Macaca fascicularis: one gene and its partners. The protein of the gene in region 1 purifies or fractionates together with the protein of each later gene. This does not show direct contact. Links are inferred from orthologs where the notes say so. Each region holds a gene or a part of one and is shown on either strand. Other genes may lie near its edges. The genes, in order: MMS19, CDKAL1, POLE, CIAO3, DNA polymerase delta catalytic subunit, RTEL1 and PPAT.

What was found.
Region 2: the proteins of MMS19 (region 1) and CDKAL1 purify together in Homo sapiens (affinity purification with mass spectrometry; 4 studies listed by BioGRID and IntAct, counting the BioPlex papers as one, with this or other methods). This does not show direct contact. The link is inferred for Macaca fascicularis from reciprocal best matches to the Homo sapiens genes MMS19 and CDKAL1.
Region 3: the proteins of MMS19 (region 1) and POLE purify together in Homo sapiens (affinity purification with western blotting; 3 studies listed by BioGRID and IntAct, with this or other methods). This does not show direct contact. The link is inferred for Macaca fascicularis from reciprocal best matches to the Homo sapiens genes MMS19 and POLE.
Region 4: the proteins of MMS19 (region 1) and CIAO3 purify together in Homo sapiens (affinity purification with mass spectrometry; 3 studies listed by BioGRID and IntAct, with this or other methods). This does not show direct contact. The link is inferred for Macaca fascicularis from reciprocal best matches to the Homo sapiens genes MMS19 and CIAO3.
Region 5: the proteins of MMS19 (region 1) and DNA polymerase delta catalytic subunit purify together in Homo sapiens (affinity purification with western blotting; 3 studies listed by BioGRID and IntAct, with this or other methods). This does not show direct contact. The link is inferred for Macaca fascicularis from reciprocal best matches to the Homo sapiens genes MMS19 and POLD1.
Region 6: the proteins of MMS19 (region 1) and RTEL1 purify together in Homo sapiens (affinity purification with western blotting; 4 studies listed by BioGRID and IntAct, with this or other methods). This does not show direct contact. The link is inferred for Macaca fascicularis from reciprocal best matches to the Homo sapiens genes MMS19 and RTEL1.
Region 7: the proteins of MMS19 (region 1) and PPAT purify together in Homo sapiens (affinity purification with mass spectrometry; 3 studies listed by BioGRID and IntAct, with this or other methods). This does not show direct contact. The link is inferred for Macaca fascicularis from reciprocal best matches to the Homo sapiens genes MMS19 and PPAT.

The regions. Positions count from the first base shown.
Region 1 is NC_088383.1:106,423,717-106,427,968, forward strand, and holds part of MMS19 (MMS19 nucleotide excision repair protein homolog), read right to left. Parts: intron 1,610-4,252; coding exon 1,523-1,609; intron 966-1,522; coding exon 891-965; intron 495-890; coding exon 417-494; intron 1-416. UniProt on the Homo sapiens protein: Key component of the cytosolic iron-sulfur protein assembly (CIA) complex, a multiprotein complex that mediates the incorporation of iron-sulfur cluster into apoproteins specifically involved in DNA metabolism and genomic integrity.
Region 2 is NC_088378.1:152,419,403-152,424,235, reverse strand, and holds the start of CDKAL1 (threonylcarbamoyladenosine tRNA methylthiotransferase), read left to right. Parts: upstream 1-1,801; 5' UTR 1,802-1,921; intron 1,922-2,688; 5' UTR 2,689-2,732; intron 2,733-4,833. UniProt on the Homo sapiens protein: Catalyzes the methylthiolation of N6-threonylcarbamoyladenosine (t(6)A), leading to the formation of 2-methylthio-N6-threonylcarbamoyladenosine (ms(2)t(6)A) at position 37 in tRNAs that read codons beginning with adenine.
Region 3 is NC_088385.1:139,788,237-139,792,488, forward strand, and holds part of POLE (DNA polymerase epsilon catalytic subunit A), read right to left. Parts: intron 3,476-4,252; coding exon 3,334-3,475; intron 3,200-3,333; coding exon 3,119-3,199; intron 2,099-3,118; coding exon 1,991-2,098; intron 1,650-1,990; coding exon 1,539-1,649; intron 1,270-1,538; coding exon 1,184-1,269; intron 968-1,183; coding exon 848-967; intron 1-847. UniProt on the Homo sapiens protein: Catalytic component of the DNA polymerase epsilon complex. Participates in chromosomal DNA replication.
Region 4 is NC_088394.1:1,490,072-1,494,323, forward strand, and holds part of CIAO3 (cytosolic iron-sulfur assembly component 3), read right to left. Parts: intron 4,013-4,252; coding exon 3,869-4,012; intron 3,163-3,868; exon of another isoform or gene 3,077-3,162; coding exon 2,944-3,076; intron 1,591-2,943; coding exon 1,456-1,590; intron 1,069-1,455; coding exon 950-1,068; intron 169-949; coding exon 39-168; intron 1-38.
Region 5 is NC_088393.1:58,334,749-58,338,433, reverse strand, and holds the end of DNA polymerase delta catalytic subunit, read right to left. Parts: intron 1,735-3,685; coding exon 1,436-1,734; 3' UTR 781-1,435; downstream 1-780. UniProt on the Homo sapiens protein: As the catalytic component of the trimeric (Pol-delta3 complex) and tetrameric DNA polymerase delta complexes (Pol-delta4 complex), plays a crucial role in high fidelity genome replication, including in lagging strand synthesis, and repair.
Region 6 is NC_088384.1:119,795,909-119,800,160, forward strand, and holds part of RTEL1 (regulator of telomere elongation helicase 1), read left to right. Parts: intron 1-1,660; coding exon 1,661-1,758; intron 1,759-2,471; coding exon 2,472-2,527; intron 2,528-4,252. UniProt on the Homo sapiens protein: A probable ATP-dependent DNA helicase implicated in telomere-length regulation, DNA repair and the maintenance of genomic stability. Acts as an anti-recombinase to counteract toxic recombination and limit crossover during meiosis.
Region 7 is NC_088379.1:77,460,045-77,464,296, reverse strand, and holds part of PPAT (amidophosphoribosyltransferase), read right to left. Parts: intron 3,664-4,252; coding exon 3,597-3,663; intron 2,643-3,596; coding exon 2,436-2,642; intron 1-2,435. UniProt on the Homo sapiens protein: Catalyzes the formation of phosphoribosylamine from phosphoribosylpyrophosphate (PRPP) and glutamine.

The DNA of each region.
Region 1 (4,252 bases):
AACACGTCAACTGAGTGTCTTCTCAACTGGTGTGTTCTTACCAAGTCCTTAGTCACACTCAGGACAGAGACACACACTTTCTGAGAAACAGAAAGCCAACTCTGAGCAGTGGCTCTGCTCACCTTTCTATTCACCACGGTGCCAGAGGCACCATAACCTGCACTCCTTGCCACAGAAGGACAAGAAGTGGGTAATGTGCAAAGGTGATCAACTGCTCTTACCAAGCAGCTGACTGTCACATAGGGACTCTCTCTCGTCATTCAACTAGAATTATGTCCCCCTGCTTGCCTCCTGAATAACCAGGCATAATACCTTGGCCCTGGGGATGACAGAGGGAAAAGGACAGGATGTATTATTTCCCCTCATGCCTGACAATTGAGAGTTAATAGTAGTGAATTTATCTGAGTAACACTCACCTCTCTGCGGATAGAAGCCCAAAGGCTGGGGAGGAAGTCCTTCAGCTCCTTCTGTCCATACACAGCACAGCAAGCATTCTGCCAAGGAAACCGCTGCTATCAGTTATGTGCACACTCAGACACCTAGGATGTGCAGGTACCTCAGCATAAGGACACCTGGAGGAGCCTTGGTCTCAGCAGAAAAACCAGTGAAGATTTTTAACAGTCCTACTCAGGGAACAGAAAAATAGGAGATTACCCTGGTTGATAAAATAGAAGCCTAAGAGGGAGTGCTGGTCAGCCTTTCCTCAGTTACTATGGGATGGGACACGACAATATGCAGCTGGGGGCTTCAGGTCGACACAGAGGCCCAAATCCTGGGTGTCCTCTTCTGAGGCCCATGAACTGTTTCTTGGCTATCCAAGAATCTATATCCTTTAGTACCCCTAACTTGTCAAAAGGTAGCTGGGTCCTGCAAGGAGAAAAATCACTCACCAGAGTCTGTAGAGAATCCAACTTGGCACTCAGAACCTCAGAATCCACTTTCTCAATCAACAGGGGCAGCAGAAACTGTGGGACAGAAGCAAGATCTTAAGCCTGAGATGGGTAGTATGTCAGTCACATCAAGTCCTCAGAAGCAGGTACTACTTATCAAGGAGCTATACTGAAGTCAGGAGCTATGAATGTGAGCTAACTTCCTGCCAAGCAGTGGCCAGAGCCCCACTACCTCAAAAACAGGCAAGCTGACAAAGTTACAGGATTTTAAAAGACAGCACCATATAAGGATTGGGTTTATTTATTTATTTATTTATTTTGTGTAAGAGGGGACGGGGTCTCCCTATGTTGCCCAGGCTGGACTTGAACTCCTGGGTTTAAGTGATCCTTTCCACTCAGACTCTCCTGAGTAGCTGGGACTATAGGTGTGCGCCACTGAATCCAGCTCTGGATTATGAAGAGATGCTAAAGTTTTCTATATTGAAGGTTTGAAGATACCTGCCACATAAGACACTTGTAGGGTGTCATGCCCTAAAATGTATACCAGATCTTTTTTTCTCCATGCTTTTACTGCTCTTTCTTCAGAACCTTCTATGGGCAGAGGCTATACACCTTAATTTGGCTAGACCCACCTCAGCGAATCGTGGTGTAGAAGCCAGCACAGCGCGAAGACTCAGGATGAGGTCTTCTCTCTGGATACCATGGGGGTCATTAGGTGGCTGGAAAAGGGAGAAGGGCTGTGGGTTTGTGTAACATTTCAGACCACCCTTGAACCCAGGCTTGAACCTGGTAACCCTGTAGAACAGGGTGATACTCATACCCAATCAGGGAAGACAGTAAGATAATGATGCCTCAGCAAGAAGACATGCTTGACCTTTTATGTATTCCTTGGGAACTTTTTTTTTTTTTTTTTTTTTGAGACGGAGTCTCGCTCTGTCGCCCAGGCTGGAGTGCAGTGGCTGGATCTCGGCTCACTGCAAGCTCCGCCTCCCGGGTTCACGCCATTCTCCTGCCTCAGCCTCCCAAGTAGCTGGGACTACAGGCGCCCGCCACCTCGCCCGGCTAATTTTTTTTTGTATTTTTTAGTAGAGATGGGGTTTCACCGTGTTAGCCAGGATGGTCTCGATCTCCTGACCTCGTGATCCGCCTGTCTCGACCTCCCAAAGTGCTGGGATTACAGGCTTGAGCCACCACGCCCGGCCTGGGAACTTTTATCTTTAGGCATTTTTAAAGATCTGATTACACATTTTTCTATCATTTCACCACTAAGAGATAAGCATGCTTAACTTTCTCGTGTATTGCTTTCTTCTCTGATATATATTGTTACTATGTGCTAGTATATACTGTTTCTGTATACTTAAAGATAATTTTGTACATGCAGTTTTTAATTTTTTTCACTTAACATATTAAGAACATTTTTATGGTATTATTCTTTCATAGCATTAGTTTTAGTGGCTATGATTTCATTTTGTGGTTGTACCAGTTTATCTAAATAATTCCTTGTTGATGGACATTTCCATTTTTTTCACCCTTATAAAAAGCTGTAATTCTGAAAACAGACAGCCTTGATGGTTTCTGTACCAAGACGACAGATTGAAAACATAAATCAGGTTTTCCTTTTCCTCTTCGCAAACTCCACCAAAAACACAGTAAAAGAAGGGATTTATTTATTTATTTTTTTTTTTTGAGATGGAGTCTTACTCCGTCACCCATGCTGGACTGCAGTGGCTCAATCTTGGCTCACTGCAACCTCCACCTCCCAGGTTCAAGCAATTCTCCTGCCTCAGCCTCCCAAGTATCTGGGATTACAGGCGCCTGCCACCGCGCCTGGCTAATTTTTGTATTTCTAGTAGAGACGGGATTTCACCATGTTGGTCAGGCTGGTCTCGAACTCCTGACCTCAAGTGATCCTCCCACCTCAGCCTCCTAAAGTGCTTGGATTACAGGTGTGAGCCACTGCACCTGGCCTAGAATTTCTATTCCTGAATTACATACCCATAATGTCAAAAATGAGAGAAAAGATTGAAGACATTTTAGGCTTACAAATCTAAAAAATCCTCACTTCTTCCTACATTCTCACAGGAAAATACTAAAGGAAGTACACCACCAAACTGAGGGGGTAAACCACAAAATGAGGAATATGTGAACTCAGGAAATAGGAGATCTGATCCAAGAAAAATGATAAGGGAATCTAGGATGACGGTGAAGGAAGATCCAATATCTACTCTGCATTAGGAGTAAAAATCAACCTGTTGACATTGTTTGGCTAAGAATGGTTTTAACATTTTTAATGTTTGAAACAAACCAAAAGAATATCTTGTGACAAGTGAAAATTGTATGAAATTCAAAGTTTAGTGTTGATAATAAAAGTTTTATTGGGATATAGCTACTGTAGCTGTTCTTGTCTCTAAGGCTGTTTTTGTGCAGTAACAGCAGAGTTGAGGAGACCATATGACCCACAAAGCTACTGTCTGGCCTTTTATAGAAAACGTTGGCCAGGCATGGTGGCTTATGCCTGTAATCCCAACACTTTGGGAAGTCAAGGCAGGTGGAAGCCCAGGAATTCAAGACCAGCCTGGGCAACAAGGCAAAATCCTGTCTCTATAGAAAAATACGACAATTAGTCAGGAGTAGTGTCGTGTGCCTATAGTTCCAGCTACTCAGGAGGCAGGGGTGGGAGGATCACCAGAGTACCAGAGTCCAGGGAGGTGGAGGCTGCAGTGAGCCGTGATGGTGCCACTACACTCCAGCCTGCCTCAAAAAAAAAAAAAAAAAGAAAAAGAAAAAAGAAAAAGTTTGCCAGCCTCTTCTTAGAGTGAGCATATAAGCATAGTGAAGAAACTGAACCCTAAACTGATCAGATCCACTATGATGGCACACGATCGATACTGAGTTGTGGCTCGGCGTGGTGGCTCACGCATATAATTCCGGCACTCTGGGAGGCTGAGGCAGGTAGATCAGTTGAGGTGAGGAGTTCGAGACCAACCTGGACAACATGGCAAAACCCCATCTCTACTAAAAATATATAAAAAAAAAATTAGTCGGGCATGGTGGCACGTACTGTAATCCCAGCTATTCAGGTGGTTGAGGCACAAGAATGACCTAAACCCAGGAGGCAGGGGTTGCAGTGAGCAAGGATTGTGCTACTGCACTCCGGCTTGGGCAACAGAGTGAGACCCTGTCTCAAAAACGAAACAAAACAGAACCAACAACAATAAAAACCCTGATTTGTAAGACAAAGAATATCTGTAACTCAAATAGTTACACTAAAGCCAGGTGCCTCTGTTTTAATTAATATCTTGATAAGAGCTTTCTGCTTCTGACAGACTGCAGTGCAGAACAACATACAAAAACTGCTTGAA
Region 2 (4,833 bases), on another chromosome or scaffold:
ACTTTTTTTCTTTCTTTCTAGCTCTAGCATCTATCACAGTGCTTGTGGTCATGGGGTGCATACTCAGTAACATTTCCTTTACTGAACTCAACTAGATCTTCGGGTAAAAGAGGTGGAGTTATTCATTCATTCATTCATTCATTCATTCATTCATTCAACATATGTTTATTGAGAAGCTATAAACGTAAGCACAGGTTATGTGTTAGTGCGATTGCAACCAAGAAGACAATCCAGGTCCTACTTTTGGTCTAGTGAAAGAGATGGAATTAAATGGGTTTGGTGGTGTGCCCGTGTAGTCCTACAGCTACTTGGGAGGCTAAGGCATGAGAATCTCTTGAGGCTAGGAGGCGGAGGTTGCAGTGAGCTGTCATTGTAACACTGCACTCCAGCCTGGGTGACAGAAGAAGACCGTATCTAAAAAAAAAAAAAAAAAAAAAAAAGTAGGGCAACATAAATACACAATTTTAATTCAGATGGGTAAAGACAATAGTGGATCCCAGGGCACTGTTTAGATTATGTTATGGATATGAATAAACAGAGAAAAGGGTGGCTTTTTTTCTTAAAAATATATTTTAGAGACAGGGTCTCACTGTGTTGCCCAGGCTGTTTTCAAACTTCTGAGCTCAAGTGATCCTCCCACATCAGCCTCTTGAGTAGATGGATGGCATTTTAATGAGATGAAATTGTACTAGCAGAAGCATTTGCAAAACAAAGTAATTGCCCCAAATCACTGTGAAACCCTAAGTCAGGCATTAAACTCACGATTTCTGACCCTTGTTCACGAACTACTGCCTCCTATTGCCTTTACTTTTTTAAGTAAAGATATTCTTCTGGTAAACGCATGGTCAAATACAGTGTCTTGGGTAATGAATACTAAAGTGAGATAACATATGTGGAGCAAGCGGGTGAGAATTCGTATTCCATGAAAGTATTTTCTTTTTTTTTTTTTTGAGACGGAGTCTTGCTCTGTCGCCCAGGCTGGAGTGCAGTGGCCGGATCTCAGCTAACCGCAAGCTCCGCCTCCCGGGTTTACGCCATTCTCCTGCTTCAGCCTCCCAAGTAGCTGGGACTACAGGCGCCCGCCACCTCGTCCGGCTAGTTTTTTTTTGTATTTTTTAGTAGAGACGGGGTTTCACCGTGTTAGCCAGGATGGTCTCGATCTCCTGACATCGTGATCCGCCAGTCTCGGCCTCCCAAAGTGCTGGGATTACAGGCTTGAGCCACCGCGCCCGGCCGAAAGTATTTTCTTTCCATAGGTGTCTGCTAAACTACCATCTAAGTTTTCCAAAACAAAAAACAAAAAAACTTGCGTGGTGGTAAATAATGTATATTAAGCGAAACCTACCAACTGACCTTTATCCTTTCCTTCCTGTTTTTTAATATTAAAGAAGAGACCTCTTCACAAACGATTGAGGAGGCTAGTAAAATGCAGTGAAAAGAGCAAGTTCTTTGGGAGTCAGACAGCATCGGATCCAGCCCACGGGGCAGCACGACTAGTAGAGTAACTTAGATTAAGTCCTTAAACTTCCAGTGTCCGCTTTTGTAAAATGGGAATAATAACAATAAATAAATAGTGAAATAATGTTTATGCAAAGTACTTAGCACAGTGTCTAACACATAAGAGCTTAGGAGAAGTTGGCTATTAAGCGTATCTAGGAACCCGAGGACTTGGGGTTGTTATTTTAGTTCTTGGAATCAAAGGAACTTGAAGCGTAATCATTCCTAAACTAAGTTAAACCAGAACCAGCCCTTTCAGCAATGATGTAATTTGATCTCTTCGGGCCACCGTCGCTGAGCATGCGTAAATAAACGTGGCGGGACGTATGTGTCATGGCGCTCTCCATCTAAAGTCTGTGCAGTTTCCGGAGAGTGGCGGGTTGATTCTCTCACTTTGGACTGGTTTTTACTTCCCGACTTCTGGGTAAGGGTGGCGGTTGGGTCCATGTGGGGCAGAGTGTGGCGACGGCTCCTTTTATGGCAAGCCTTGTTTCTCCAGTTTCAGTCTTTCTTGGGCTGTTTGCAAAATTGTTTCGCAGTTAAAAGGGGGATTTGCCAGCTGGGATGGGGGAATTGGGAGGCAGATGGGGCTTCCAGGAGCGAGGGTAGGGTCGTTGGCCTCAGGTGCCGCTCTCCAGTTAGTAATATTTTGGGCACCTCGTTCCTTATTGTCAAATTTAACTTCATTTGTTCTCCCACTTTATACCTTAGTGAATTTGTAGATGTGACAGGGCTTTCGCAGTTACATAGCTTTCCCAGATCAGTATCTTAAGAATTTAAGCAGAAGTTATTGAGAAAAGCAGATGTCTTGCTTTTTCACTTTTCGTTCTTCTTTGCTCATAAAACCTTTTTCTGAATCTCGGGACGACAGTTATCTTTCGAATGGAACGTGATCTGGATGTCTGCCTATTTACTGACTTATTCCTGTTTTGTAGTGGTTGGTTACTCGCACTATGCAGACGTGTTGTAGTGCTGAATACAACATTACTACAGACACTGGATCACAGTCACGGCAGATGTCAGCACACCTGTTGTAATCAGTAAGAAGTTACAAGTAGTATGGAGCATCATTAATCCTGCTGTATAAAGCAGTCTTTTTTGGAGTCTGATTCCTTTTAAGTAAAGAATCCTTACAGTGGTTTTGTGAACTTCTTTGGTGCTTGCTTTTCCTAATCAATTTTTATTTTCCAGACTCATCTTTCAAGAGGACTTTAGACTAATTGCAGATAATTAAGGTACTGATTTATTTTAAACCTTTTATGTTTGAGTGCTGTACATATTTCTGCATATTAGAAAATGCAGAGAGGTAGCTTAATTTCTTAGCTATTTGCCACTATCGTGTTATGGAACCATTGTCCTTTACATACCACTAAATTGAAGAGATATTTTCATTTATTTTACTTAACCTTTCGTTTTCATTCACCAGCATTGACCATGTCCACTTTTTTGACATGCCCTCTTCCTTTGCCTTCCATGGCCCATGGATTTTTTTCCTTCTCTGGTGGCTGCTTCTTGGAATCCATTATAAGCTGATTTTCCTTTATATGAGAGTTAAATTTGGAGTCTCTCAAGTCGTGGTCTTGTACCTTCTCCTACCTCTGTTCTCTTTTTCTTTCCCTCTGGGTGATGTAATCCACATGCCTGTCAACAATTATTTGTCTTTTTGATTCTACCTATCCTAATGGGTATGAAATGGTATATTATTGTGGTTTGGATTTCCATTTCCCTGATGGCTCATTATGTTGACATCTTTTCACGTGCTTATCAGCCATTTGTATGTGTGTGTTTTTGAGACAGGGCTTCCCTGTGTCACCCAGGCCAGAGTGCAATGGCTCGATTACAACTCACTGCAGCCTTGACCACCTGGTCTCAAGTGATCCCACTTCAGCCTCCCAAGTAGCTGGGACTATAGGTGCATGCCACCATGCCCGGCTAATTTTTACTGTTTTTTTTTTTTTTTTTTTTTTTTTTTGTAGAGATAGGGTCTGTGTTGCCTAGGCTCTGGCCCTGTACTCCTGGTCTGAAGTGATCCTCCCACCTTGACTTCCCAGTGTTGGGATTATAGGCATGAGCCACTGCACCTGGCCCATTTCTATATCTTCTTCATCTAATCTGTTTTTCCTTTTGTTGCTTGTGCTTTTGGTTTCTTAGCTAAGAAAGGAGGGCCTACTCTAACATCATAAAGATTTGTACTTATGTTTTTTTCTAAAAGTTTCATAATGTTAGCTCCTAAATTTAGGTATTTGATCCATTTTCAGTTAATTTTTTGTATATGATGTGAAATAGAGCTCCAACTTTATTTTTTACATGTTGCTATCCAGTTGTCCCAGCATCATTTGTTGAAAAAAACCTATTCTTTCTCTGTTGAATTGTCTTGGCATCTTTGTTGAAAATCAGTTGACTAGGTTATGTATATTTGACATGCATTCTAGGTGGTTTTTATGAAAGAATAATTCTGGGACAGTGATTGTCAAACTTTAATTCAGATCAGAATCACCTAGAGGGCCTGTTAAATATTGCTAGGTTTTACTCAAAACATCTGATTCAGTATGTCTGGAGTGGGGTTCAAGAATTTTCATTTCTGGCTGGGCATGGTGGCTCATACCTGTAATCCCATACTTTGGGAGACCAAGATGGGAGGAGTTTGAGAGCAGCCTGGACAACAAAGTGAGACCTTGTTTTTACAAAAAAATTGAGAAAGAAAGAAAAAATGTTCATTTCTGACAAGTTCCCCATGATGCTACTCCAGCTGATGTGGAAATTACACTTTGAAAACTACTGGACAGGCCGGGCGCGGTGGCTCAAGCCTGTAATCCCAGCACTTTGGGAGGCCGAGATGGGCGGATCACGATGTCAGGAGATCGAGACCATCCTGGCTAACACGGTGAAACCCCGTCTCTACTAAAAAATACAAAAAACTAGCCGGGCGCGGTGGCGGGCGCCTGTAGTCCCAGCTACTTGGGAGGCTGAGGCAGGAGAATGGCGTGAACCCGGGAGGCGGAGCTTGCGGTTAGCTGAGATCCGGCCACTGCACTCCAGCCTGGGCGGCAGAGCGAGACTCCGTCTCAAAAAAAAAAAAAAAAAAAAAACTACTGGACATTGCTTTGCAACTGTGGCTGTACACATGAGAATGACTGGAAAGTTTTAAAAAGATATTGAGGCCCAGGCTCCATTCTCAGAGATTCATTCCGCTATCTTGGGGCTTAGTTGGGAATTTTCTTTTTCTTTTTTTTTTTTTTTGAGACAGAGTCTTGCTCTTTTGCCCAGGCTGGAGTGCAGTGGCGTGATCTCGGCTCACTGCAAGCTTAGTTGGGAATTTTCAAAAGCTCTTCAGGT
Region 3 (4,252 bases), on another chromosome or scaffold:
ATGGCACAAAAACCCCAGGTGTCACCCCCTCCCTGAGAACCAGCATCCCTGGGCCTCCCCCTGCCCCTGCCCCACATGATAGACCCTGAATCCTCACGCCCCTCACTCCCTGCCTTGGATCAGGACTGTCACATGCTAAACCAGCCCCAGCCTCCTGGCCTCCCTCTCCAAGCCAACTGCTGAACGTCAGAGCTAAACAAACACATTCAGGCTTCAAGCGCTCCAATGGCACTGTGCAGAGTACAGAGGTCACGGGGGCCCTCCTTTCCTTTCCTTCCCTCCTTTCCCTTCCTTCCCTCCTTTCCCTTTCTTCCCTACCTTCCCTTCCTTCCTTCCCTTCCTCCCCTTCCTTCCCTTCCAGCCTTCTTCTCTTGGCATTTCCACATCCACCTGTCCTCCCAACCAGACATGTCAGAGCCCCCGAACGCCGTGATTCTCAGCAGCTTTGAGCTGCCTCCCACCCCAGCTCATCTGGAATCTGCGCTTGTCCTGTGAGGCTCGTCCTGTGAGGCAGCTGGGCTGCCACATCCCAATCTGGCCTGGGCAGTGCAGCTCCATGAGGTCCTAGCTCTGGGACCTGTGTGTTGAGTGTGTCTTCCCGGTGGCTACCCCACCCCAGAGGCTGATGCTCAATGTGCCTGATCACTGACGAACTGTCAGCCAACAGTCAAAGACAGCACATCCTGGGCCCCGGCAGGGTTGTAGCTGCCATCCTCTTGGGTGACCTGAAACACCTCTCAGAGGCCACCCTCCTCCCATGAGATGTGGTGACAGTACAGTCTGCAAGAGGCCTTCAGATCTCGCTCGCAGACAGCAGTGATGAGCCGTGCTGCTGTGCAGCCCCTACCTGAGGCAGTCCATGTGGATGCACTGGGGCGCCTTGTACTCCCCCTGGCTGTCCTTCTGGAAGCCTATCTCCTGCTGCATGCTCAGACCGTGGACTGCTGCCCGGGCCTCCACAAATGGCCTGGGTTCGAAAGAGGACAGACAAGCAAGTGGGAAGATCAGGCTCTAATTCCCCTTTCTCCATTCCTCCCTCAGATCCAGGGAGGAACCGAGACACGGGAGGTGCAGAGTGAACCCAGAAGCCACCTCCTCAGTCAACATGGGAAGCGCCCCGCACCATGCAATGCCCTCCCTCTCAAACGCTGCCCAGTTACTCACAGAGAAGACACAGACTCACCAGTCAAAAAAGTCCCCGTTGTAGGTGACCATGATGGTGGGTTTGGTCTCCTGGACGTGTTCAAACCACCTTTGGATCAGATGAGCCTAAACCCAAGTCACAGCAGTCAGAGGTCTGCTCTTTCTCTTCTTCAAGCTATTTCCAAATTCCTCCCCCAAAGTTCAGAAGCAGCAGCCTCATGCTGGCCCTTATTCCTGACCCCAGCCCCAGTTTCTGGCAGAAAAGAGGGTCATACCCTAAGAACGAAGCTGATGGAGCTGCAATTCTGATCCGACGGAATGCCGAGGCCTTGGAAAGATCCGCATGCCCCTTCTTCCCACAATACCAGGCAGTTTCACAAGTGATACCTCCTTACCTCATCGGGTTCATTGAAGACACAAAACGGCCCTTCATATTCTGGCTTGGGGGTGAACTCAAAATCTTCAATATCTTCTGAAACAATCTCCCTGTTGGTGATGAGGTAGCCCTAGTGAAGTTCATTAGCAATTAGCACAAGTCAGAGGCTGCAAAGCCAAGACCTGGTGTCCCCACCCTGCCCACACACTCTGCCTAGAGATTCTCACTACAAAGAAGTCCACAGCAACGTGAAAGTGCCCTAAGCTTCCTGAGAAGAGATCCTCCATGTCTGGATTCCCACTGGAAAGGAGAGGGTACAGTTGGAAGTCGGAACGGCCTGGCTGCTCCCATTCCTGGACTAACTTATTATTCACTCAACACATCCTAACTGTGGGGCAGACGCTGCTGTAGTATGGGGACCAGACAAGGTCCCCATCCCAGGAGCTTTCTTCCCAGAAGCCGCCTGCTCACCTGGCCGTCGATCATGTAGGAAATCATCATAATCTGGTCTGTCTCAGCATCAGGAAACTTGAGGGGCAGTTTGGTCGTCTCAATGTCAAACGCCAAAACCACAGGGTCCTGTGGGGACAAAATAAGCATAAAGCCAAGCTCTAAACTCCCCATCAGGCCTCCCTGAACACCGGCCCCCGGCCTGCTCTACCTCCCTCTGGTTGTTAAGAGTGAAAAGGCTCCAGAGCTGGGAGAGGGACCCTAAGACTGACCAACCTACGTCAAGAGCATCACGACTCTCTATGGTGTGGAAACTTACACACCTAAGAGAGCAGCTGATCACAGGACAAGCCTAAAATCACAGAACTTTAGTAGAAAAACTCTTTAGAAGGCCGGGCGCGGTGGCTCACGCCTGTAATCCCAGCACTTTGGGAGGCCGAGGCGGGCGGATCACAAGGTCAGGAGATCGAGACCACGGTGAAACCCCGTCTCTACTAAAAATACAAAAAATTAGCCGGGCGCGGTGGCGGGCGCCTGTAGTCCCAGCTACTCAGGAGGCTGAGGCAGGAGAATGGTGTGAACCCAGGAGGCGGAGCTTGCAGTGAGCCGAGATCGCGCCACTGCACTCCAGCCTGGGCGACAGAGTGAGACTCCGTCTCAAAAAACAAAAGAAAAAAAACAAAAAAAAAGAAAAACTCTTTAGAAGACATCACCTCATTCTGATGGTTATGACAACCCTGAAAGGTAAATGTGGCACAGAGATGATATCTTCGTTTCGGAAAAGAGAAAACTGAATACAGACTTTCCCAACACCACAAAGTCATATTTGAACCAAGGCCTTCTAGTTACAAATCCATTTTTCACCATGTCTCTTCACTATCAACTACCCAATGGAAGTCCTAGCTTTCCCTCAAATGTCCAAATCCTGCCTAGCTCAAATACTGATGTCATGCAGTGATATACAACAAAAAAGGACATGATACTGTCAGAAACTGATGAAAAACTAACTCCATATTTCCTTTAATAAAGTATTTGGGGGGAAAGCAGGAAACATATCTTTGAGTCAAATTTACTCTTCAGCACTAAAGAATATTCTCTCCAGAAAACCAGAAATTTTACGATGAAGGTAATACAAGCAACAAAACTTACAGGTCGTTCAACAAGGTCATCTCGGCGGGTGATTTCCACAGGAAAAGCGTTTCCACGGTATCTGACATTGTACCAATGAGCCTGCAAAACACACAGTGTGTTAACTGGAGTTCTACATCCGGGAAAGTCTACTCCTGTGTGGATTCACCCATAATGATCATCTCCTGGCTGTTAGGAAATTCATGTGAGCAGCAACCCAACCCTGCCCTACTCACCACATGGATCTTCAGGTCAATGGAGAGGCGGATGTGGTAGGGAACATCGTACTCGCGCATGTCCACAATGTTGTCCAGCTGATCAGCTATCTTCTTAGAGGTTTCCTCTTCATCAGTAATGACACCACCCCTCTGCAGAACACTAGGAATTAACAAGAGAGCAACTAACTCAGCTGCCAGGGTCTGGAGGAGGTGGGACCAGAGTTCCAAATCAGTAGCAAGAGATGAGACCAGAGTCCAAACTGAGGAAACACAAAAGGTAAACTGAGGTGGTTTCAATGACCAGGGCAGTCCTTCCTTTAAGAATGGCTTGGATTGGGCCGGGCATGGCAGCTCACGCCTATAATCCCAGCACTTTGGGAGGCCAAGGAGGGCGGATCACCAGAGGTCAGGAGTTTGAGACCAGCGTGGTCAACACGGTGAAACCCCGTCTCTACTAAAAATACAAAAATTAGCCAGGCGTGGTGGTGCACGCCTGTAATCCCAGATACTTCGGAGGCTGAGGTAGGAGAATCACTTGAACCTGGGAGGTGAAGGTTGCAGTGAGCCGAGATTGCGCCATTGCACTCCAGCCTGGGCAACAGAGCTAGACTCCGTCTCAAAAAAATAAAGAATTGCTTGGATGATAACCCTACAGACAGGAAAAAAATTCAGGGTAAGATGTATGCATTTTATGTGATGTGAGTTACACCCCAACTAAAAAAAAAAAAAAAGAGGGCCAAGCATGGTGGCTTATGCCCCTAATCCCAGCACTCTGGGAGGCAGCAGGTACACTTAGGCCCAGGAGTTCAAGACAGGCCTGGGCAACATAGGGAGACTCATCTCTACAAAAAAAAAAATAATAATAATAATTAGCCAGTCATGGGGTACACACCTGTGATCCCAGTTACTCAGGAGGCTGAGGTGAAAGGATTGCTTG
Region 4 (4,252 bases), on another chromosome or scaffold:
GAGGCTCGAGGGCTCCGGGCCGCACGGCATGACCACACCTGTTGTGAGGACACAGTCCACGTCCCGTGTCTGGTGTTCCTGGTTGAAAAAGTCGGGTCTAGAGGCTTCCAGCTTTTTGTCATAGCAGGGCATCACCGTGACGTGGTAGATCTTGTCAGGAGTCAAGCGCTACGAGGGAAAACAAACACACGTCTCCCCAATCCCAGCAGTACGGTGGCCGAGGCGTGACCTGGAACTCAGCCATCCTGCAGCCAGGCCGGACCCCGAGGGACAGTGAGCCTCACTCCCTTTCCCAGGAAGCCTCCTGCTGGCTCTGTGGATGTGCCCCTGGACAGGACAGGCCCTGGCTGCGACAGAAAACGACACTGACCCGTTCCCAGCGTGCTTGCACTCCCTAACAGCCAAGTCCAAAGGAGGAGAAGTGGCCTTCCCACAGCTCAGGCCCTCTCGCTGCACACCAGCCGGGGAAACGGATGTCACAGGGGAACCAACCAGCCCCAGCCCCAGGTGAAAATCCGTGTTTTCGGGCGGGAGGTGCTGTAGGGGACATGGGCACTCCGGGCCCAGGCACCACCAGGGCCACCCTCACCCTCTCCCGCCCCCCACTGGCTGAGTGTCGTCAGGCTTCAGTCCCGCGGGGCCTCAGGTGGGGGTCGTGCTGGGCACCCTGTGGATCTGGTGGCCGGGGCTGCCCGAGGGCCTCCTGCTCCCTCAGCCCCAGGCCTGGCTGTCGCTGCGTGAGCAGTGAGCAGCTGTGGATCAGAACGTGGCCCTGTGCTGCCCAGCAGGAGAGGAGTGGCCTGAACTAGGAGGGAACAAGGGTGGAGGTGTGCTCGGGAAGGCCACACACCAGGGCGAGGACTGTTTCCTGCGGCTTCGCGGCAAACAGCCAGAATAATCACGTCTGGCCGCTCCCCAGCCTGAGCCTGGGGCGGCCCAACGCCGTTACCTGCTGCTGGGCGAAGAAGTCCTTGACCAGGGAGCCCATGACCTGCTGCGGGGACCGGGCGGTGCTGATGTGGGGGAGGATGAAGCTGCCGTGCGTCTTCTCGGCATAGCAGATCCAGCCTGAGGCGACAGGGGCACACGGGGCTGGCGGGGGCGCACGGCGGCCCCCGCACCCACAGGCAGCAGCACGACATTCTGGAGGCGGGTCCGCTCATACGGGAGATCATGATGACATTAAAGAGTGCTCGTTCCTGTTCTTCCCACCACCACGTGGAGCTCGGCGTGCACGCAACACCGCCTAGGGACCTGAGGTGACTGTGGGTGGCTCCCAAGGGAGGGCAGCCCCTTCTCCACAAAAGGCCATTTGTGCCAACATTTCTAACCCGTCCTGCGAAACCGGCTTGCGTCTCCACCCCCTATCCCCCGCCTTGTCATCCGTGTCCATACCATGTCACATTTTAACTTAACTCGAACTTGACTCTCACACCACCCGCACCATGAGCACACCTGGGCAGGCGGAGGCCAGCAGGGGCAGGGCCTGTCTGCAGTCGGCCTGTCCTCGGAATCGCCGCACAAACTCTCGCTGGCTCTCCAGGAGGCTGAAGTGCCTTGAGAAGGCGGTGTCGAAGACAAAGTGCACCCCTGGAAGGTGAAGGTGGGTGCCTGGCTAGCCCCGCGCGGGACGCCCACGCGAGTACACGCCTGTGTGTGGACCACCGTGGTGCTGCTGGGGGACGTGTGTGGCACCCGCTTCCCGTGCCAAAGCCCCGGCCCCACCGTGGGGACCTCCTTAAGCCGCGTTGCCTCGGCATCCCCTGCGAATGCAGGGCTTGCTTTCCCACCCCAGAGGCAGGGCAGCCGCTCGGCAGCTCAGTCCTCCACCCTCCCAGCTCCTTAGCGAGGCTGGTCCAGGGAACTGCCACGTGCACTGCTCCCGGTGACCCTCCCTAGGGCACAGCTGGACGTGGCCTGCTGGACTGGCCCCTCGGACCCTGAGTGTGCAGACCTGCCACAGTGGCCGCCCCTCACACACGGCAGGACTCCTGGGACAGGCCCGCCGGCTCCAAGCCCAGCAATTAGAACTGCTTGGTAAACCTGCCTGATCGTGCCCTGGACCCCAGCAGAGGCACCAGCACGTGGGTCCCTCTGTCTCTGCCTGACCTGTCATTCCTGCCTCATGTAACCCATGGTCGGAAGACGGCCTTCGGACTCACTGTGCCCCACCTGCCCGTGATCTGTAAGTAAAAATCTTTGAACTTGCTTCCTATTCCGGTGGGGACGAAACCCACACCTTCCACCTGGAGAACTACGGGCTGCCCCAGGCCAGGTTTCCCCTGAGACACCAGGTCAGGCTCCCAGTGCCAGAGCACTGCTCAGACACCAACTGGACGTGGGTGTGGGTCAGACAAGAGCCACGGGGCACCTGCCAGTGTCAACAGGTTTCCAATGTGAGGGACCCGGGACACAGTTGGATGACAGGCAGTCTGCCGGGTACAAAGCACACAGTCCTGCCTCACTGGGAACGAAGGGACTGGACGTGGCGGTTACCCATGAAAGGCACACAGTAGCCATGAGGTCCAGCCCCTTCATTCCCAGTGAGCCACCGGGCACAGGAGCTGGTTAGCTGGGGCCTCTCAAGACACCCAAGCCCAGCTCCAGGCACACAACCGAAGTCCGCCGAAGCTGGCCTTAGCTGAACCCAGCGGAGCCCCGGAGAGAGTGCCTTAATATCATCAGCTAAAAAGTACAAGGAGTTGGTCAGCCCCAACTCACAGAAAGTGCACAGTCAGAATGCAGACGATTTCTGTGAGAAGGCGCTGCTCTCAAATGTCAAATCAAAACTTCAGGCTGAGGTCACAGAGGGAATAAAGTTTCTGTAGCACTGAAGTTCAGGGCTGGGTGGCATGTCAGTGACTCAGAGGCACGAGGAGCCTGGGCTCACTCAGACGCCCCCTTGGTGTGGAGTGGCAGTGTTACCCCAGGTTCAAAGCCTACCTATTTTTTTAAAGAATGAGGTTAATTTCCTGGCAGTGTCTGTAGGATTCAGCTGAAACCGTGCAGCCAGCGATGCTCTAGACTGTGGCGAGACTGAGACTACAACCAGCCTCTGCTGACTGGGCGCCGCCATCTGCAAAGCAAGGGGAAGACGCTGCTTACTCTGCCGGCCTTATGCTGATTCCTGGTGCCCAGAGCTGCCCGGTGAGATGCCGTCGGCTGTGGAGAGGGCATGCCAGCTCTATCAAGAGTGTCTTTTTTTTTTTTTTTTCCCCACACAGAGTCTTGCTCTGTTGCCCAGGCTGGAGTGCAGTGCTGCGATCAGAGCTCACGGCAACCTCTGCCTCCCAGGTTCAAGGGATTCTCCTGCCTTAGCCTCCTGGGTAGGTGGGATTACAGGTGTGAACCACTGTGCCTGGCCAAGGATATCATTTTTTTTTTGATGGAGTCTCGCTCTGTCACCCAGGCTGGAGTGCAATGGCATGATCTTGGCTCACTGCAACTTCTGTCAGTGATTCTCCGGCCTCAGCCTCCCGAGTAGCTGGGATTACAGGTGTGCACCACCGTACCTGGCTAATTCTTGTATTTTTAGTAGAGACGGGGTTTTGCCATGTTGGCCAGGGTGGTGTTGAACTCCTGACCTCAGGTGATCCACCCGCCTCAGCCTCCCAAAGTGCTGGGATTACAGGTGCAAGCCACTGCGCCCGGCAAGGGTGTCATTTTGATGTATATTTAGAACCTGAAGTTCCGGGCCTGACACGTTCACCACTGGCACCAACTGACAGGTAAATCACCAAGATCCCAAGCCTCAGAAAGGCAGGTGCCACCTGCAGGCGGCACCACACAAGCTGCCCTTGGCAAAATGCCTCGGCTGCTGGGGTGGATTTCAGGTTAAAGCAGAGTCCTCTGGCCGCCCACCACTTACTTTGTTAGCATCTAGAACCTTCTTCAGCTCTTCGTGGCTCTGCTGGGTGATAAGCACGGTCTCTGCAGAGGTGATGCAGCCGCTGCACGCCAGGCAGTCGTTTAGGGAGACCTTGGCCTTCTCCAGCCTCCGGGTCCCGCCGTCCTACAAGGGAGAAGAACTCGGTGCGCACCGCGAGCCCCCTCTGCATGAGGACATGGAGCCAGAGGATAGTGGAGTCCAGCTCATAACCAACAACCAACATGGCTGCTGGCTGGGCTTGTGTGCTGCTTAATTTTTAAAAATTAGACATGTATTACAAAAATGCACACACACGTTCTAGAGTTTCATAATGCCATCAAAGTCTACTTTTTGGTACGACTTGGTTAGTGCATCAGAATCACA
Region 5 (3,685 bases), on another chromosome or scaffold:
CTCCCAAAGTACTAGGATTACAGGCATGAGCCACCGTGCCCGGCCTGTTTTTTTGTTTTTAAGACAGTGTCTCACTCTGTCGCCCAGGCTGGAGTGCAGTGGCACGATTACAGCTCACCACAGCCTCGACTTCCTGGGCTCAAGAGATCCTCCCACCTCAGCCTCCTGAGCAGTTGGGACCACAGGTGTGCACCCCCATGCCCGGCTAATTTTTTTTTTTTAATGTTTTGTAGAGATGAGGTCTCATTATGTTGCCCAAGCTGGTCTTGAATGTCTGGGTTCAAGCCATCCCCCTGCCTCACCTTCCAAAGTGCTGGGATTACAGGTGTGAGCCACTCCCAGCTGATGGTCTGCTTTAATGTGGATCCCTCACACCTCCACCGCCAAATGCTACTTTGAATTAAAGAGACCATCACCAGGGACCGGGGCCTGGGTTGGGGGGCAGGGGGTGACCACCTTGAGACCTCTGGTTAGAAATGACGTGGGTGGGGAGCTGCCATGATCACCCAAAAATCAGTCATGTAGCCAGAGTGGTCCTCAGCATGGCCATAGGGAGGGCCACCAGGAAGGGTAGGGTCCCCATGAGAACTCAGTCTTTGTGGGGTCCCTGAAAGGGCATATCAGATGGACAGCCTAGGAGGTCTCAGATGTGATTAGAGGATCCCAGATATGACAAGGGTGTCCCTGACAGGGCCCAGACAAGACACATTTCACTGACTTCCCCATCCCCCCGCACCCCAGACCTCTCAAGAGTGATTTCAGACATGACAAAAGGATCTCGGAGGAGCCCTAGATGTGATTGGGGAACTCCAGACACATAAAAAGGGACAGCAGAATGGTTCCAGAGAATTGGGGGATCTCAAAGATGAGGAGACAGATGTGGCAACACAGCCATAGATGGGCAAAGAGATCTGAGATGACAACAGCTCCCAGAGGGCCCCAGACATAAGGAGGAGATCTCAGATCCGACAAGAGGGCCCCCTGGACCGGGCTCAGGGTTGCCAGCAGGGCCCCCACCCCAGATGAGATTGAGGGTTTACAGACACACGGGGATCTTAAAAAGGTCCCAGGCCTCACTGGGGAATCAGGTATCACAAGAAAATCCCAGAGAAGCTCTTGGGATTCTGGAAGAACTGCTACCCTGCCTCCCCTAGTATAGTGGTCCATAGGTCCTGTCACCCCAAACCTGAGGATCCTGGGGAGTCTGTACATGACAAAGAAATCCCAGAAGGACCCCAGATACAAGTGGGGAATCCCAGACAGGCCCGGGCTGGGCTTGGGGATTATGGCAGGGCAGCACTCCCCCTACCCCCAAAAGGTAGGGATGCATAAGTCATATCAGGTAGGGTGTGGGGACGCCCTTTTTCTTCCAGGGGGATCCTGGCTGGAACGTGAGGTCCCCCAGCAGCTCCACAGGTGGGAGCCTCGGGTGTGCTCAGGCCCGGCGGGCTGCAGGAAGCAGCGCGCTATCGAACTGGTAGGTGAGCTTGCGCTTGACCTTGCGGATCTCGCCGGTCTTGGCGTAGTTTCGGAGGGCGCGCGCCAGCTTCTGGTAGGTCATGCGCTTGCGGTTCCCCTTCTGCTGGCCCCAGCGGCGCGCCAGGAGCTCCTTGTGCTTGGAGGAGAACTGGAAGACGCCGGCGCCCTGCTCCACCCACCACACGCACTCACGCATGTCCCCGCGCGTCAGCAGCCCCAGCAGGAACTGGTACAGGCGCAGCTTCTTGCGGGTCCCTGCGGTGAGGTCGGGGGCACGCGTTAGGCGAGGGGTCCCTAAGGCCCCGCCTTCCCCATCCACCCTCCTCCGAGACTTCCGCCCCGGCCTCCATCTCCTGGATCTGAGAAGTGGGGTGAGGAAGTGGCTGTTACATACTCCTGGCTCTGCGCCCCTCACCACGGGGGCAAGTCACTCCCCCTGCCCGAAGCTGTCCTCCCCAGGCCCCCTCCGGAGTTCTGTGCTTTAATGTTCGAGATTTACATCTGTCCTGCCTTCTGCCTTGTGGCCAGCACGTAATATTCCCTATTTGTTGAGCTAATGGATGAAAGAGTTTGTGAAATGGGTTGACAGCGCTGCTCAAAGGATTATAACGGAGAGGCAAACAGATCTGGAGGCAGTTGCATTGGCCTGGCTATCTCTCCTGCTTCTGGTCTCCCAGCCTCTCAGCTCAAACCGGGACAGGGTCCCGGGAAAGGCCAGGGCACCTGACTCCTGGGCTCCTAGGCTTTTCTTTGTTTTTGAGACAGAGTCTTGCTCTGTGGCCCAGGCTGGAGTGCAATGGCTCAGTCTCGGCTCACTGCAGCCTCTGCCTCCAGGGTTCAAGCAATTCTGCCTCAGCCTCCCGAGTAGTTGGGACTACAGACATGCGCCACTACTCCCAGCTTATTTTTATATTTTTAGTAGAGACAGGGTTTCTGTTGGCCAGGCTGGTCTCGAACTCCTGGCCTCGGGTGATCGGCCCACCTCGGCCTCCCAAAATGCTGGGATTACAGGTGTGAGCCTCTGCGCCCGGCCAATAACTGGGAGTTTCAGAGCAGGGCACTGGCTACAAGAATCCCATCTCTGCCATTTTACAGCAGTGTGACCTTGGGGTGGTGACATAGTGACATTTTTTAAATTTTTTTTTTCAAGGCAGGGTCTCGTTCTGTCACCCAGGTTGGAGTACAGAGGAGCAATCACAGCTCACTGCAGCCTCGACCTCCTGGGCCTAAGCAATCCTCCTGCCCCAGCCTCCCCAGTAGCTGGGACTACAGGTATGCATCATCAGGCTTGGCTAATTGTTTTATTTTCTGTAGAGATGGTGTCTTACTATGCTGCCCAGGCTGGTCTTGAACTCCTGGCCTCAGGTGATCCTCCCACCTCGGCCTCTGAAAATGCTGGGATTACAGGTATGAACCACTGCACCTGACTGAATTCTTATAATTTTAGGCTGCCTCGACATTCATTTAAAATATAAGTTGGAGGCTGGGTGCAGTGGGCCATGCCTGTGATCCCAGCACTTTGGAAGGCTGAGGTGGGCGGATCACTTGAGGTCAGGAGTTCGAGACCAGCCTGGCCAACATGATGAAACCCCGTTTCTACTAAAAACACAAAAATTAGCTGGGTGTGGTGGCTTATGCCTGTAATCCCAGCTACTAAGATTACAGTAGCTGAGTCAACAAGCTACTGTAAGCTAGTGCAATGGTATGATCTCAGCTCACTGCAACCTCTGCCTCCTGGGCTCAAGCGATTCTCCTGCCTCAGCCTCCCAAAGTGCTGGGATTATAGGCATGAGCCATCGTGCCTGGCCTGAACCCACCAATTAAAACCCCCCTCAGGAAACCTGTTTGGTTGACACCTTGGACCCAATAAAGGCATCAGTCCACTGATCCCTCTCTCTCTCCCTCCCTGCCTGCACTCCCTGACCTGTGTGTGTGTGTGTGTGTGTGTGTGTGTGTGTGGCCTCCAGGCATGCCATGTATGCCCCAGGACCTATAAGCAATAAAATAATTTATTTCCGGCTGGGTGTGGTGGCTCATGCCTGTAACTTCAGCACTTTGGAAGACTGAGGTGGGAAGATAACATAGGCTCAGGAGTTGGAGATCAGCCGGGGCAACATAGCAAGACCTCACCTCTACAAAAATCTAAAAAACTAGTCAGGTGTGGTGGTGTATGCCTGTGGTCCTAGCTACTCAGGAGGCTGAGGCA
Region 6 (4,252 bases), on another chromosome or scaffold:
ACACACACCCCCACGGAACAACACACACCCCCACGGAACAGCACACACACCCACGGAACAACACACACTCCCACGGAACAACACACACCCCCACGGAACAGCACACACACCCCCACGGAACAGCACACACTCCCACGGAACAGCACACACACCCACGGAACAGCACACCCACGCCCACGGAACAGCACACACACGCCCACGGAACAGCACACACGCCCATGGAACAGCACACACATCCACAGAACAGCACACACATCCACGGAACAGCACGTGCTTCCACGGAACAGCACCCACGGAACAGCACCCACGCCCCCATGGAACAGCACCCACGGAACACACACCCCCACGGAACAACACACACCCCCACGGAACAGCACACACACCCACGGAACAACACACACTCCCACGAAACAACATACACCCCCACGGAACAGCACACACACCCTCACGGAACAGCACACACTCCCACGGAACAGCACACACACCCACGGAACAGCACACACACACCCACGGAACAGCACACACACGCCCACGGAACAGCACACACTCCCACGGAACAGCGCACACGCCCACGGAACAGCACACACATCCACGGAACAGCACATGCTTCCACGGAACAGCACCCACGGAACAGCACCCACGCCCCCATGGAACAGCACCCATGGAACAGCACCCACGCCCCCATGGAACAGCACCCACGGAACAACACACACCCCCACGGAACAACACACACCCCCACGGAACAGCACACACACCCACAGAACAACACACACTCCCACGGAACAACACACACCCCCACGGAACAGCACACACACCCCCACGGAACAGCACACACACCCACGGAACAGCACACACACACCCACGGAACAGCACACACACCCACGGAACAGCACACACTCCCATGCGGGGCCGCTGGGTTTCCTGCAGTTTGTCCTCCTCCAGGCCTTTCCCTGGACCTCCTCAGGTGCCTGTTAGAATGAGACCTTCTTGTTAGGACGATGAGTGTCCCAGCCACCACCTCTTTTGGACTCCGGGAGGCCCGGAACATTCTGAAGGCTCCGTGGGTCTCCTGTCTTCTCCGTGGCCAGGGCAGCAGCATTTGTTGTCTGTCCTGCAGGCAGATGAGGGTCAGGCCTGGGGCCCGTGTGGGGCTCCACTGAGTGCACAGCCGCCAAGGCGAGCGCGTTCTGCCTGAGCGCCGACCTTGTGGCGACTCCCAGTTGCTTCCAGGTGGAGCCAGTGTCCTCAGCGTAATGCTCAAGGCTCTGGCGTGGCTCCTCGGCCACCTGCACCCCCAGGGGCCCCTCCTGTAGCTTCTGCTGCCGCCATCACTGTCACTCTCCCAAGGCTTTGGGGACTCTGCCCAGAGCCGCTGCCTCCCAGAAGCCCCTGACGACCCCCCGGCGACCCCATCCCTCCCTCTGATGACAGCCTCTGCCCTGAGGCGGCTTTTCCTTGGTGCTGTTCTTGTGCCGGCCAGGCCTCCTCTTCCCATCTGGAGGCTCCTGAGGGCGGAGGCCTCTCACCCCCAATGCCGGCGTCCCCTGGAGGGCTCAGTTTGTTTCGGAGGGAAGGAAGCTTCCACAGTTGCTGCCTTCAATTCCCAAAGCTGCAGCCTGATCCCCTGTCCAGGCTCGAGCCTGCCTTCTTCTCCTCGCAGCTACATCTTTGAGCTGTTTGCTGAAGCCCGGATCACGTTTCAGACCAAGGGCTGCATCCTGGACTCGCTGGACCAGATCATCCAGCACCTGGCCGGACGTGAGTGCCAGGGCGGGGTCCTTGGTGTGGGCAGACGTGGCGTAGGGGGTGCAGCAGGCCTCCATCCTGGCAGTCAGGGCTCGCCTGGCCATCACCTGGCCGTCAGCAGGAACAGGCTCACAGAACCTCACCTGATCGGGGCGTGGAGGCGTTAGTGCCGGTTGCCCACTGCCGTAGAGCCTGTCCCAGTTCTGCAGCTGGCGGCTTCGTCCTGCAGACTCATCCCATTATTCCCCTTTTAAGGAAGAGCAGCCCAAGGCCCTGGCTGGGTTGTGGGGCCTCAGGCTTCTCCACACACCCTGAGTTCTGCTTCTCAGAGCTGTGGGGTCCAGAGGCTTTGCCCAGAGGCAGTGTCGTCATGGGCTGCTCTGGTTTGAGATGCCGGCCCGCTGGGGCCTCTGCTGTGCTCCCAGGTGCTGGGGAGGGCGGCTCTTGCTGCTTCAAACCTTAGGTGACCATAGAGCCTCTTTTCAAGTTCCACCGGCCCCCTTGGAGACGCTGTCCCTGCATGGCTTCTCTCCTGGCTGCTGGGAAGGGCAGGCGAGCTGCCCGCCCTGAGTGGACACTGCGCTCCACCCTGGGCCCTCCGTTGGGCAGGAGATGGAGCTTGGCAGTCGGGCTGAGCTGGCTTATGGCTGGAAGGGCGGGGGCTGGGGTCGGGGCCTCCCCTGCCTGCAGTGCGGGTGTCAGCGCCCGGCATGCTACCTCCCCAGGTGCTGGAGTGTTCACCAACACGGCCGGACTGCAGAAGCTGGCGGACATCATCCAGGTGGGGCCTGCTCCTCCGGCGTCTCCTTCCCTGATGGAAGCTGGGCGGGTGCCTTCTCCTGCTGTATTAGTTACTGACTCTAGATGTGGGGGTGGGAGAACGGCCCCCACACCACCTGTTTCCGATAGGCAAACGCTTGGCTCCTTTCCTGTGACCCAAACCCACACTGGGCCTCCCGCGGGGATGGGGGAGGACGAGGTCTGGTGGCACGTGCCCAGGGTGATGCTGGTGGGGGAGGACGTGAAGGGGAGTGGGGGCCAGGGAGCCGCTCCTGCCTTGTCCGGGCCCTCAGGCCAGGGGGGACCCACTCCTGGCAGCCCCAGCTGCACGCAGATGAAGAGCTCTGGACACACGTAGCTTCCTGAACAGCTTCTCCAGGGACAGACAAACGGGGACCCTGCAGGTTGCCGGCGGGGGTGTCCCTGCGAGCCCATGATGGGGGATGCGGCCCTGGCCCCCTTCTTGGCCCCGTCCTGCCCTGCGATGCCCGTCCCCTCCCATGTGAGGTTGCTCCTGGCTCTGTGCCTGTGGCAGCACCTGCTTTCCCTGAGGCAGAGGGGCTTGTGCGGTTTGTGGAGGGCAAGCCCCATTTTTGGGTGCTCTGGGCACACACTTGCCTCTCCTGGACCTCGGTGCATTTTTTAGAAGCAGACCCACAAGTCCCTGACTGGGAGGCCATCAGTCCTTGGGGAAACCGAGGCACAGGTGGCTGTGTGGAGCCGTGTGAGGCTGCCTCTGTGCTGCCCACACTGAACCTCCTGGCCACACGAGGTCATGGCAGGGTTAGGTGGGGCTGCCCAGCTCTGTGACAACTTCGTGAGTGTCCGCCTGGGGTGGGGGGTGCTTGAGCTGGGGGAGGCCGCAGAAGAACCCTGGAATGTACGGCCGGCCTGTGCATGCAGTGCGGTGCTCTGTGCATGCTACTGGGCGTGGAGCTGCAGGCCCCAGGACGACCAGGCACTGCCTTCTTCATAGACGTGGCTCTGAGCGGGGGCGAGACCTGGGCAGGGACCAGGTGGGGTGGGCACAGCAGGTGGTAGGGCCCAGGCTCAGCCCTACCTCCACTGTGGCCTTCTCTGCGGCCAGTGATGCCACAGCCAGTGTCTTCTCTGTGTGGCAGCTGGGGCTGGAAAGACGGCACTGCTATGTCTCCCAGCTCCTCCCCAAAAGCACGGTGGGCATCCCAGGGCCAGACCCCTCTCTCTGTGGCTCCTGCCTGCCAAGGGCTGCTTTGCCGTCCCACCTGGAGCGTGGTTGGCTCTTCAAGCAGGAGGCCGTGCACCTGCCAGGCGGACCTGCTTCCATGTCCTGATGGGTCACTCAAAGCACCTCCAGCACATGGCCATCGAGGCAGCCCTGCAGCCCAGGGCCTGGAGGGCAGGTGTGAGCTGGCCCGGGCCTGCCCCTCCCTGGAATGTGGCTTCCCAGGCTCCAGTATGGAGAAGTGTCCACACTCTGGAACCAAATCCTGTTCACCCCATTGGTTTGGAATTTCCTTTGGCTGCTGCTCTAAGTAGCCACTGGGAGATGACTCAGCTCCTCCCAACCCTGGGGACTGCACACCGTGTTCACCCTCGGCTGCTCCTGAGTCCCTGCAGGTGTGGGCACTGCTCATAGGGCTGCTGCTGGGCTGGACTTGCAGCCCTGAGGCACAGGTGACCCTGGGGACAGAGTGGGGCTAGAGTGGGGCTAGTGGCCCCAGGAAGAGGATGTGGGATGCACGGT
Region 7 (4,252 bases), on another chromosome or scaffold:
ACAAGTCACAGACTGGTACCAGTCCCTGGCACAGGGGTTGGGGACTCCTACATTAATGGTATGTGTATACTAATAACGGATGACCATGGCTGGAGGCAATATAAGAAATCTAGAAGGTTTTCAAGCAGAAAAAAAAAGTGCTTTGAGATGTATAGAAAAGCTTTTGAATACTAAATTTGAAGGCATGCAGACCTGAAAGTGGGTAGGGGATCTTGAAAATTTGGTTAGTGGGTCTGACCTTTTCTACCCTCAACACTCTTGATGAACTGGGTATATTCCTATAAAAGTAGTACACTACAGTGTTAACTTTCAAGCTGGGTTTGTTAGTGATCATAATGGTGGCTACCCATCCTCACTAATTATTACTGATAGAAGAAAGGAATCAACTGTATTGAACAACGAAATGTAGCAGATGCAATAAATATCGCTTGAGTGTACTCTATGATAATTACAAAGTTCTGAGCAAGACTGACCAGGACAAGGGCAGCCCCATGGACATGCACAGATTGAGTCTGAATGGGCACTACAGAACATTTTCAGTAGGGAGCTAAAAGTAGAGATGAAGTTTAGCATCTGGGTAAGGGGTAATGTCAGGAAACGGTGAGTTAGTGGTTATCTCTAAGTGGTGAATTTTTAAGAAATTTTTACTCCATATTTATACGTTCATGATTGTCTGAATTTTTAAATGAACTATACATTTTTTCATTTGGGGACAGAAAAGCACAATAAGGTCATTATAATGCCTACAAACAGGGCTGGACAAAGCTCTAGGAAATGTCTAAAGACAGAACTGAAAATAGAATGACAATGAATGGTACAAAAGCCTAGTTTCTAGATATTTTTGACCCGGCAATTCATTATTATTCAGCTTCTGTAACTGTTCATCATATGTGAATTGCCCAGCTCTAGAATGCTTATAGGATGATGGAGCATGTGGGTAACAATCTATTACTAAATATCACCAGGTTCTGAGGTTACCAAGTCAAGATGATTGGGAGCTAATAAACTGAAGAAACCCAACATTAATGAATGAATGCCTGAATGGATAAAAGGAAGCTACTAGGAATGAATATAAAGACAGGCAGTTTAAAAAAAAAAAAAGATAAAATGATGAATGAAAGCATAGGCACAAATTTGACATCATTAGCACAGAAAGCTCCAAACAACATGCTGTGAACCAAGAGTTTAAACACTCTCTCCCTTTTCCCATACTCTAGTTTTCTGTCATTGTTTCCAATTCATTTTTTTATGTCATCTCCAAGTTTATACTCCATTTTATTTTTATGATTTTGTGACATATAAGAAGAAATATATATGTTGATTTTTATCCTGGTCTTTCCTGGTACACAGCTCCTAAAACCCTTAGAATTGCCAAAATGATAAGTGTCCTTTTGTATGCTGTTGAGATGACCAGTAGCTAGGGGTTCCTACATAGCATCAGTATGAGGGCTGGTTGCCAGGGGAATCAACCAGAGGGTTGGAGCTTCCAGCTTCGGGGAGAAAGGCTAAAGGTTAAGCTGATCACCAGTGGCTGATGATTTAATCATTCATGCCTACTTCATGAAGCCTCTATAGAAATTCACAATGACTAGGTTCAGAGAACTTCTGGATAGCTGAACAGTTGGAGATGCCTGGAAGGTGGTGCCCCTGGAAAGGGCATGGAAGCTCCATGCTCGTTCCCACATACCCTGCCCTTTCCATCTTTTCACCAGACCGCTCTTCTGTAGCCTTTGTAACATCCTTCATAATAAACTGGTAAATGTATACAAAGTACTTTCTTGAGTTTTGTGATGTTTGAAACCAAAGGCAGTGCCAGGGCTGTTGCAGGAACTCCCAATTTATAACTGGTTGTCAGATGTACCAGAGGCCTGGACTTGCAACTAGCATCTGAAGTGGGGGACAATCTTGTGGGATTGAGCCCTTAACTTCTGGAACCTGACTTTACCTCCAGGTACTATCAGAATACAACTGAATTATAGGATACCCATTTCGTATCCTCTGGAAAATTGGCTGGTACAAGAAACCCCCCTATTTGGCCACAGAAGTGTGCTGAGTCTGAGAATAGGAAAAACGCTTGGTTTTTCTTATTTCATACGAGCTTTGTACATAGCAACAGAGTTAAAGAGATAGCAAGTCCATAAACTCTAATTTCTCTATGCTTCCAACCATAAATCAACTCTCCCAAATCTCTAGAGCAGTGCATTCAAAAAGTGAGTCTAAAATGCATATTCTCACCCTTGTCTCCAACTCTAGGGGACATCTTACAATCTGGAATTGTAACAAGTACTCCAGATCATTCTGATGCAATTGTTGTTGCAGTTAGGTAACAGGTAGCAACAATTAGAAAATGCCTTTTACAAAGATCCTTAACTTTTATTCATTAACCCATGCTAATCATTTTAAAAGGCTTAGGGAAAACAAACAAACAAATGTACCTTTTTCCTTAATCGAGCAGCATTTACCAATTCACCATTATGTGCCACAGCTATCTTCCCATGAAGTGTTTCAACAACAAAGGGCTGACAATTTTCTAATTCACATTTTCCTGTAGTGGCATATCTTGTGTGTCCAATTCCAAGATTTGAAACATACAATTTTTTCAAATTGTCTTCAGTAAAGACGTGATTTACAAGACCCATTCCCTTGAGAAATCAAAAAGTGCAACTTAGAAAAAAACAGACTAGTACTGCTAGTAATAAACACCTCTCTTTTCTGCTCAGCCAATCCAAATAAGACAAAGAAGTGCATTTAATTTCTCTGTGTTTCAGAATTCTAATCTTAAAAAAAGGCCAAAAACAAATAACCTAACTGTAAGAACTGTGAAGCACTTACTTAAAAAAATTTATTGAGGCAAAAGTCACATAACATAAAATTAACCATTCTACAGAGAAAAATTTAGTGGCATTTAATACCTTCACAATGTTGAAGCACTTGTGTTTCATAAGATACTATTCACTAAAACATTTAAGAACAGATGTACTAAGCAATACAATTTGTCAAGCATAAAAACTAAGATTTGCATTAAACAAATCAAAGCATCTTAAAGCATTTAAATAAATGACTCCCTATTTGAGTTGGTCTTAGGCAAAAAATTGTCACTGGGGAAGAAATACATCCTAATTTGATAAATGTTAGGATATAAAGTTGAAAGTGGCTGATCCAAAGAATATCACTTTTGACTGCAAATTATTTATTCAACCCCCCCATATTAATGATCACCTGTCTTTTGTTATCTTTGTCATCCCATTTCTTTCACTTATTTATTTATTTATTTTATTTTTTGAGACGTAGTTTTAGTCTTGTTGCCCAGGCTGGAGTGCAATGGTGTGACATTGGCTCACCGCAATCTCCGCCTCCCAGGTTCAAATAATTCTCCTACCTCAGCCTCCCAAGTAGCTGGGATTACAGGCATGCGCCACCACACCTGGCTAATTTTGTATTTTGAGTAGAGACAGGGTTTCTCCATGTTGGTCAGGCTGGTCTCGAACTCCCGACCTCAGGTGATCCTCCTGCCTTGGCCTCCCAAAGTCCTGGGATTACAGGCATGAAGCACCATACCCAGCCTGTCATCAAGATTTCTTAAAGTTCAAATTTACCTTGTGTGATTTGAATGTTGGCACTGAACTCCCGTCACTAGTCACAATACCGGCACTCTCCTGACCCCTGTGAATATAAAAAGATATTAGCTGTTAAATCTGCCAATTGATGAGCTTCTTGAAGAACTTTATCAAGCATACTTTCTCGACAAGCACCCATGAACTTAGTGTGACAACACATTAAATGCTACTTGTACTAGTACTACTCCTATTGATGATGCTGATGCTGATGATTAGCAATCACAGCAGATGACAATGTAACAACTAGATATCTAATTCTAACTAACATGTCCTAAGCATTTTATGCTGTAAGAATAAATAATTTAAAACCTACTGGAACCCCAAATATACTTTAGGCCTTGAGAGAGATATGACTGTGATCCAAGTCACATATGGTTACAACTTCTGTTTCTCAGACTATAGATTAACTCACTTTCTTATTTTTCTTGTTCTATACAATGACTAGAGAGAATTAAAAGACATCAGAGACGGCCGGGCGCCGTGGCTCACGCCTGTAACCCCAGCACTTTGGGAGGCCGACACGGGCAGATCACGAGGTCAAGAGTTGGAGACCATCCTGGCCAACATGGTGAAACCCTGTCTCGACTAAAAATACAAAAATTAGCTGGCCCTGGTGGCACACGCTTGTAGTCCCA